Saccharomyces cerevisiae S288C: one gene and its partner. The protein of the gene in region 2 binds, or shares a complex with, the protein of the main gene of each other region. Each region holds a gene or a part of one and is shown on either strand. Other genes may lie near its edges. The genes, in order: PSF2 and SLD5. A codon is read from its position in the direction of its gene.

The links.
Region 1: the proteins of SLD5 (region 2) and PSF2 are in contact, whole or in part, in a cryo-EM structure (PDB 3JC6), measured with the Saccharomyces cerevisiae proteins. Residues at the interface, in NP_010777.3 of Saccharomyces cerevisiae: Pro56 (codon at 1,282), Gln57 (codon at 1,279), Phe60 (codon at 1,270), Met64 (codon at 1,258), Trp67 (codon at 1,249), Lys68 (codon at 1,246), Arg71 (codon at 1,237), Arg90 (codon at 1,180), Gln94 (codon at 1,168), Ile101 (codon at 1,147), Glu121 (codon at 1,087), Ser122 (codon at 1,084), Leu124 (codon at 1,078), Pro125 (codon at 1,075), Leu127 (codon at 1,069), Cys128 (codon at 1,066), Met129 (codon at 1,063), Thr131 (codon at 1,057), Glu132 (codon at 1,054), Arg135 (codon at 1,045), Phe138 (codon at 1,036), Val139 (codon at 1,033), Arg145 (codon at 1,015), Cys146 (codon at 1,012), Ser149 (codon at 1,003), Asp152 (codon at 994), Asn225 (codon at 775), Lys226 (codon at 772), Phe227 (codon at 769), Phe229 (codon at 763); in NP_012463.1 of Saccharomyces cerevisiae: Leu3 (codon at 1,456), Pro4 (codon at 1,453), Gln8 (codon at 1,441), Gln9 (codon at 1,438), Thr10 (codon at 1,435), Phe11 (codon at 1,432), Ser12 (codon at 1,429), Glu15 (codon at 1,420), Phe18 (codon at 1,411), Ile19 (codon at 1,408), Asn22 (codon at 1,399), Trp50 (codon at 1,315), Leu52 (codon at 1,309), Thr54 (codon at 1,303), Thr55 (codon at 1,300), Asp56 (codon at 1,297), Asp57 (codon at 1,294), Lys58 (codon at 1,291), Trp74 (codon at 1,243), Ile75 (codon at 1,240), Leu78 (codon at 1,231), Leu79 (codon at 1,228), Gln82 (codon at 1,219), Lys84 (codon at 1,213), Trp117 (codon at 1,114), Glu165 (codon at 970), Ser166 (codon at 967), His167 (codon at 964), Leu168 (codon at 961), Gln169 (codon at 958).

The regions. Positions count from the first base shown.
Region 1 is NC_001142.9:304,401-307,395, forward strand, and holds PSF2 (DNA replication protein PSF2), read right to left. Parts: upstream 1,463-2,995; coding exon 821-1,462; downstream 1-820. Other genes in the region: JEM1 (Jem1p), read left to right, coding at 1-718; ARG2 (acetyl-CoA:L-glutamate N-acetyltransferase), read left to right, coding at 1,732-2,995. UniProt on the Saccharomyces cerevisiae protein: Functions as part of the GINS complex which plays an essential role in the initiation of DNA replication by binding to DNA replication origins and facilitating the assembly of the DNA replication machinery.
Region 2 is NC_001136.10:1,428,747-1,432,458, reverse strand, and holds SLD5 (DNA replication protein SLD5), read right to left. Parts: upstream 1,448-3,712; coding exon 563-1,447; downstream 1-562. Other genes in the region: serine/threonine protein kinase PKH1, read left to right, coding at 1-491; PAC11 (dynein intermediate chain), read left to right, coding at 1,670-3,271; 3,4-dihydroxy-2-butanone-4-phosphate synthase RIB3, read left to right, coding at 3,479-3,712. UniProt on the Saccharomyces cerevisiae protein: Required for DNA replication. Functions as part of the GINS complex which plays an essential role in the initiation of DNA replication by binding to DNA replication origins and facilitating the assembly of the DNA replication machinery.

The DNA of each region.
Region 1 (2,995 bases), on a different chromosome or scaffold from region 2:
AACACTAGAAACATGGAAACACTATCAGGATGCTAAGTCCGAGCAAAAACCTTTACCTGAGACGGTATTGAGTGATGTATGGAATTCCAATCCTCATTTGCTGATGTATATGGTAAACTCAATACTTAATAAAAGTAGGTCTAAACCTCATTCACAGTTCAAAAAGCAATTATATGACCAGATAAACAAATTTTTCCAAGATAACGGCCTCTCAGAGTCGACCAATCCATACGTGATGAAGAACTTCCGATTATTACAGAAACAATTACAAACCTATAAAGAGCATAAACATCGGAATTTCAACCAGCAATATTTCCAACAACAACAACAGCAGCAACAACACCAACGACATCAAGCACCCCCAGCAGCGCCTAACTACGACCCAAAAAAGGACTATTATAAAATTCTTGGAGTATCGCCTAGTGCTAGTTCGAAAGAAATAAGGAAAGCATATTTAAATTTAACCAAAAAATACCACCCAGACAAAATAAAGGCCAACCATAACGACAAACAAGAATCAATTCACGAAACTATGTCACAAATCAATGAAGCGTACGAAACATTAAGTGATGACGATAAAAGGAAGGAATACGATCTTTCCAGATCAAACCCCCGCCGCAACACTTTTCCTCAGGGGCCTAGGCAAAATAACATGTTCAAAAATCCAGGAAGTGGCTTCCCATTCGGAAATGGCTTTAAAATGAATTTTGGGCTTTGATGAAATACATTCTATGCCCATTAACTAGGATACCACAACAAGTACATATATATACATACGCATATCACTGAAAGTTCTAATTATTGCAAAGCCAGCACTTTTTTAAATATTGAATTCTTCTTCATCATTTTCAGTACCAGCGGTAAGAGATGCTGTGTGAATTTCTCGCAGTTTATCCATGATTTCAGTAATGAACGGCCTCAACTCATTGATTTCTAATAGACTTAAATTATCCAATTGTAAATGAGATTCATTCAAATACTTAAGGCCTTTTAACACTTTGATCTGCCTTATTTCCCTTAAGTCTTGTATTTTACCACGTAATTCGTGAATGGGGTCATGAAAATCATCCTTAGCTTTATTGAAAAGTATACGTGCCAAGACAAGCCAGTTCCACGGCAACTCACTAAACCTATCCGGATGAGTTTTCTCATATTGTATTTTTCTATCAAGCTCTTTCGTCGTTAACCACTGTGGTGCTACAATACTGCACTTGGATTGTTGCTTCAGTAATAGAGCGATCCAAAGAACCACTTCTGTAGAACGCATGGCTACCATATTATTTAAAGCTTTGTCATCTGTAGTAATAAGTTGCCAGCGGGTGTGGTTTCCAGTTCCTCTATCATCGCCACGAATTTTTTGGCGTGTTGTTATTCTGGGAAAAATCTTTATTGGCTCGTTTTCCACAATGAACTGTATTTCTTCTGGTGAGAAAGTCTGCTGCAAATGTGCCGGTAGTGACATGCGTCTATGAAACTAGTCTTATTTCAGATCAGCCGTTGATCCTCTCTAAGTATAAAACTCTTTTTTGTTAACCATTTCATAGTTACACTTTAGGCGACTGATTTTTCATTAAATGGAAAATATCACAAGAAATTTCACGCTGGAGAAAAAAAAGGTTAGTCATCACTGATCTTCCCATGGAGTCATAAGCACGTTCGACATAAATTGTGAAAGTTAACACATTTGAAGCTAGGACCGTCAATCTAGGACACTAGTCGGTTACTTTTATCATGTGGAGGAGAATATTCGCGCATGAACTCAAGTATGATCAACCCAATGCATCTTCAAAAAACTTGATCCTTTCAGTTCTGAATACAACCGCTACAAAACGAGAGGCTAAGGATTATCTCTCAAAATATACAAATGATAGTGGGCAGCATAATCATTGTTTGTTTTTTATCAGGGACCTGCATAAAGTCGCACCAGCGATTTTGTCCCAGTTTTCAAGTGTCATAAAGAGACTAGGAATGCTAGGTTTGCGACCTATGTTTGTAATTCCGCCGTCGCCAACTCATGTAAATATACAGGCAGAGTTACTTGACAGTATCGTTACAGAAGCAGATTTAAAGCCACTTCACCTTAAGGAGGGTCTTACTAAATCCCGCACTGGGTTATATCATTCTGTTTTTTCGCAAGAGAGTCGTTTCTTTGATATTGGAAATTCCAATTTTATACCAATTGTGAAACCTTATGTGTATAATGAAGAGACTGCTTCAGAATTCATGACAAAGGATGTTGTAAAATTTATGGATTGCCTGTGCCAAGGGAATATTCCACACATTGACAAATTCTTCATTCTAAATAATGCCGGAGGTATACCTTCGGGAGAGAGAAATGATAACGCTCATGTATTCATCAATCTTTCTCAGGAACTCGAGCATTTGTCCTCGTCATTATCTCACAATATAAGCACTCTAACCAAACGAGAGCCACGCTCCCAAAACCTGTTACACAGAATGGAGGTGTACGTTAAAAAAGATGAGATATCTTCCTTAGAATGTGAATACCATGATCATTTAGAAAACCTGTTATTGATGGACAAAGTTTTATCAAATCTAGCGGCTACAGCAACGGGACTGATTACAACTGTCAAAGCTGCCGCACTATCATCAGATAGGAAAAATCCTTTAGTATATAATTTATTGACAGACCGATCGCTAATTTCTTCTTCTTTACCAAGGTTTAAAAAAAAGGACGGCGAGATAGACTCACCAGCCAACATGTTTGATGATCACGCATGGTATGAATTGCCTTCCCAACAGGTAAATGCAGCTCCTTCTAACTCAGATGCAGTTTTAGTGACAACTGTTCTCAAAAAGGGCGTCCATATCAAAACTTATGACTATAAGACGCTGACTCAATTCAACTCAATTGGGCTTCCAAAGAAGTTTCACGTACCTGAGAAAGGAGCAAAACCCTCGAGCAATAGTCCAAAACTAGATATCAACAAATTTAAATCCATCATCGATCAGAGCTTTAAAAGATCTTTGGATT
Region 2 (3,712 bases):
TTTTTGTCAAGAGAAGAAGTCTCAGCATGTGGGAAGAACAGGAATTTGAATTGCAATTCGAACTAGAGTTGAATGACGTTGAGAAGATACGCTTTATAAGTGATCAAGTCCTTGAAATTGACGGTTCCAGGACGATTTTCATAGGATGCAAAGAGAGAGCAGTTTTAATGAAACTATGGAAATTAATACATAATGGAATGACCGCCAAACCTAAAGTAGTATCGCCGAAGTCGGACCATAAAATGTTTGATAAGTTCATTCTTCAAAAAAGACAGAATACAAAAAAAAAGAATCAAGCTCCTCCCGTACCTCAATCGAATAGGCTAATAAATGGTTTACCGGACCGTTGCATCTTAAAGACACCCGAAGAAGGCGCACTTCACACAAAACGTCCCACTTCGTTGCAGACCCGATCGTCATCTAATTACTCAAAATTGCTGGCAAGATCGACACAAATGCGGAAAAACATGACACGGACAGATGAAAAATGAAACTGTGCTTGATAATATATATATATGCATATGTAAGACATGGTGAAGGGGAAAGTGTAATGCATAATAGTTCAAATAAGAGCAACTTTGTCGTCTCTCAGCAGATCCCTAATGACTTCATATCTCATAACGTAAATACTTCCAATAGTGAGTTCAACCTCTTCCTTTAAATCGGGTATTGTGACCGTGTAGCAAGGTTTACCGAACTCGTTTTCCTGCAATAGCGGATCTTCGTTCCATTTACCATCTGGTGGGCCGTTAACGTGTATAAAGACAAATTTGTTCCAGTCGGGCTCATCTATCATGTTTACGCTACCTTCTGTATCATTAATAGCCTGAAGTTCTTCGGGCATGTATTTCAGGATAGAATCATTGACTAGTTTCAACCAGATCAGGGAATGCGTGTCATGGTATTTGATTTCATCTTTGGATAGTAAATCTGTAAGAGAGATCAGCGAATTTTCATCTTCATTTAATTGGCGCAAATAAAGTGAGAATTTGTCAATTTTGCTTAGCCTACATCGTATGTAGCTTCTAATAACAAATTTCAATCTTTCTAACTCAGTTTCCATGCAGAGTAAAGGCAATTTAGATTCGTTAGGCATAGGCGGGTTCGCATTAGAAGCATTTTGCATATCGAGGAATCCCATTGAAATGTTTTCAATTAATTGAGATTGCATGGATATTCGATTCAATAATCTTTTCATCAACTGATGAGGATATGGTAAGAGTTCTGGCGAACACCGTTCATTTTTCCAAGACTTCATCAAGTCAGAAAAATCCTGCTGGGGAGAGACATATATCTGAGTCTTGTCATTCAAGTCTAAGGACGAACCCACTATTGTATTTGCATCTCTGTGGGTAGTGGAAGAAGAACCTTGCGTGATCTTGGTAGAGTCGACAGCAGTAGTTTCCTTATCCAGTTCTGCAAGAATATCGTCTATGTTAATGTCCATCACCGAGTCAGGTATCTTATTCTCCTTCCCAATACTAACAAATTTGGTTTTTCTTACCTATGGCTCAAATATAATGCTATTGAAATTTTCAGTACTAGTCCAAGGCGAAAAGAAAAAGAAATGAACTAGTTTTCGTGTTTTGCCGTAAACAAAGAGAAAAGGGAAAAAAGAGCATCACAGTTGGTTAATCAACCAAAGAGGAAGAAGGATTGAAACATTAAGATGGAGCGATTGAAGCAACTGGAGGAAAAAAGGAGACAATTGAAAGAGCTGCGTGAGAGGCGAAAACAAGCCAGCTTGTTCCCTGGGAGCGAGACGATGGGCCACCATCCCACAGAGGTGCACGCTAAGGCAACCATGGTCAGCGTTTCAGTGCAGACCGACATGGAGGAAGGCTCAAAGATTCAAGAGCCCCAATCTGCATATCTTCGACGTAAGGAGGTTATAACATACGACAAAGGCATTCAAACAGATCAAATTGAGGAAGAACAACTGCAAGAAAATGAAAATCACACCACTACTGATGCTGTCGCCATTGAAACTACTGCTGCCGACGAAAATAATAAAGACAAAGCTGAAAACGACCAGCCAAGGTTAGAACTAGCCAAACCTTTTCTTGTTGAAGAGGCGGCGGCAACGCTGAGCAACGCTAGTTTTGCGCGGCTGGAGACAGAGGTTTCTGCGTCAGGCCAGCAGGCGCCATCGAACATGCAACAGGATAAAGACAACCTCATGCAATGGAACATGGTCAGTGAGAATTTACAATCAGAGACAGACTGCGATTGTATCGCTCAGGAGTATGACCCAGGAAAAGGCGTCTTGGTTGTGGTTTATCTACGATTGCCGCCGGCAGACCTACAGTATGCTAGCAGCGAAGCGGCGTGGTCTGTGGTGAATGTAGTCAAGTGCGATAATGCCAGCGGACGCAACGGCCTCTTGATAGATATGGTAGAGTTCCGTGGTACGCGGATCATGACAGCCACGATCCTCCGTCGGTATCATCCGGAAAGCAATGTAATATCAATCTTGTTGGCGACCTTGACGGGCAAGATCATATTGTACGAGCTTAGATTGAAACAGAAAAAGCCAGAAACACCGGTAGTGTATGTCGTGCAGCGAAATATGGTGGCAAGACACTACTTTCAGCACCCAGTGGTGGCTGTAATTGAAACAAGCAGCGTGCAAGATCAAGAGAGAGTACTTGTGGCAGCTGATAATGGCAATATTATGGAGTTGAGCTGCCTGGACTTGACTGTTTTGCGGAAGCCACAGCAGCTCCGTCCTGTACCGCTATCACAGCTTTTATCTTTGGAGAATGATACTTGCACATATACGGAGCGATTGCAGCGGTTGGCAAAGTTTGATGAGGTAGGTATAGCTTGCATGGCGTACACGAGTGAGGACCCGCAGTACGTCTGGATCGGTGGCGAAGACGGTGGTATATACAAGGTTTTCTGGGACCAACCTGGGCCGCTGTACCTCTCTTTGGACAACAATGGGTTCCAACCTGCAGAAAACCACTCTACGAGGGTAACCGGGTTAGAGTTTCATTGGGACGATGCTCGGCGGCTAATGCTTCTATTATCATGTTCCACGGACTGGACGGTGCGGCTGTGGGACGCGCGAGCAGGGAAAGCTATCATAGGGGCGCCATTGTTGTTAGGGGGGCCCGTACTACGTGCACGCTGGCTCGAAAAAAACAATGGAGGGGAAAATAGTCGCACTCTACGGTGTCAAGTGTGGTGTGCAGATGGTCGCCTCGTTGTTGTAAATTGGGCTTTCGATGCTAAGACGTCCCTCTACACGGCCACTGTTATCTCCTAACGCCGCTTCGAGGCGGGTGAGCATAGGTTATTGCCTGATGAGTAATTTCTTAGCGAGAATTGATAAAAAAAAGCAAGGCTATTATTAATATACGTGCTATTGTGAAATTTTCATTGGCGTATATATGTGAGGTGAATGTAAATATCTCCAACAAAAAGCAGAAGGCTAAAAAAAAGGAAAGGAAAAGAAGAAAAGGCAACGTCGAAAATGTTTACACCAATTGATCAAGCTATAGAACACTTCAAGCAGAATAAGTTTGTAATTGTTATGGACGATGCCGGTCGTGAAAATGAAGGTGATCTTATTTGCGCTGCTGAAAATGTCAGCACTGAACAAATGGCCTTTCTTGTACGCCATTCCTCAGGCTACGTCTGTGCACCTATGACGAATGCCATTGCTGATAAGTTGGACCTTCCACTACTGAGAACAGGCATGAAGTTT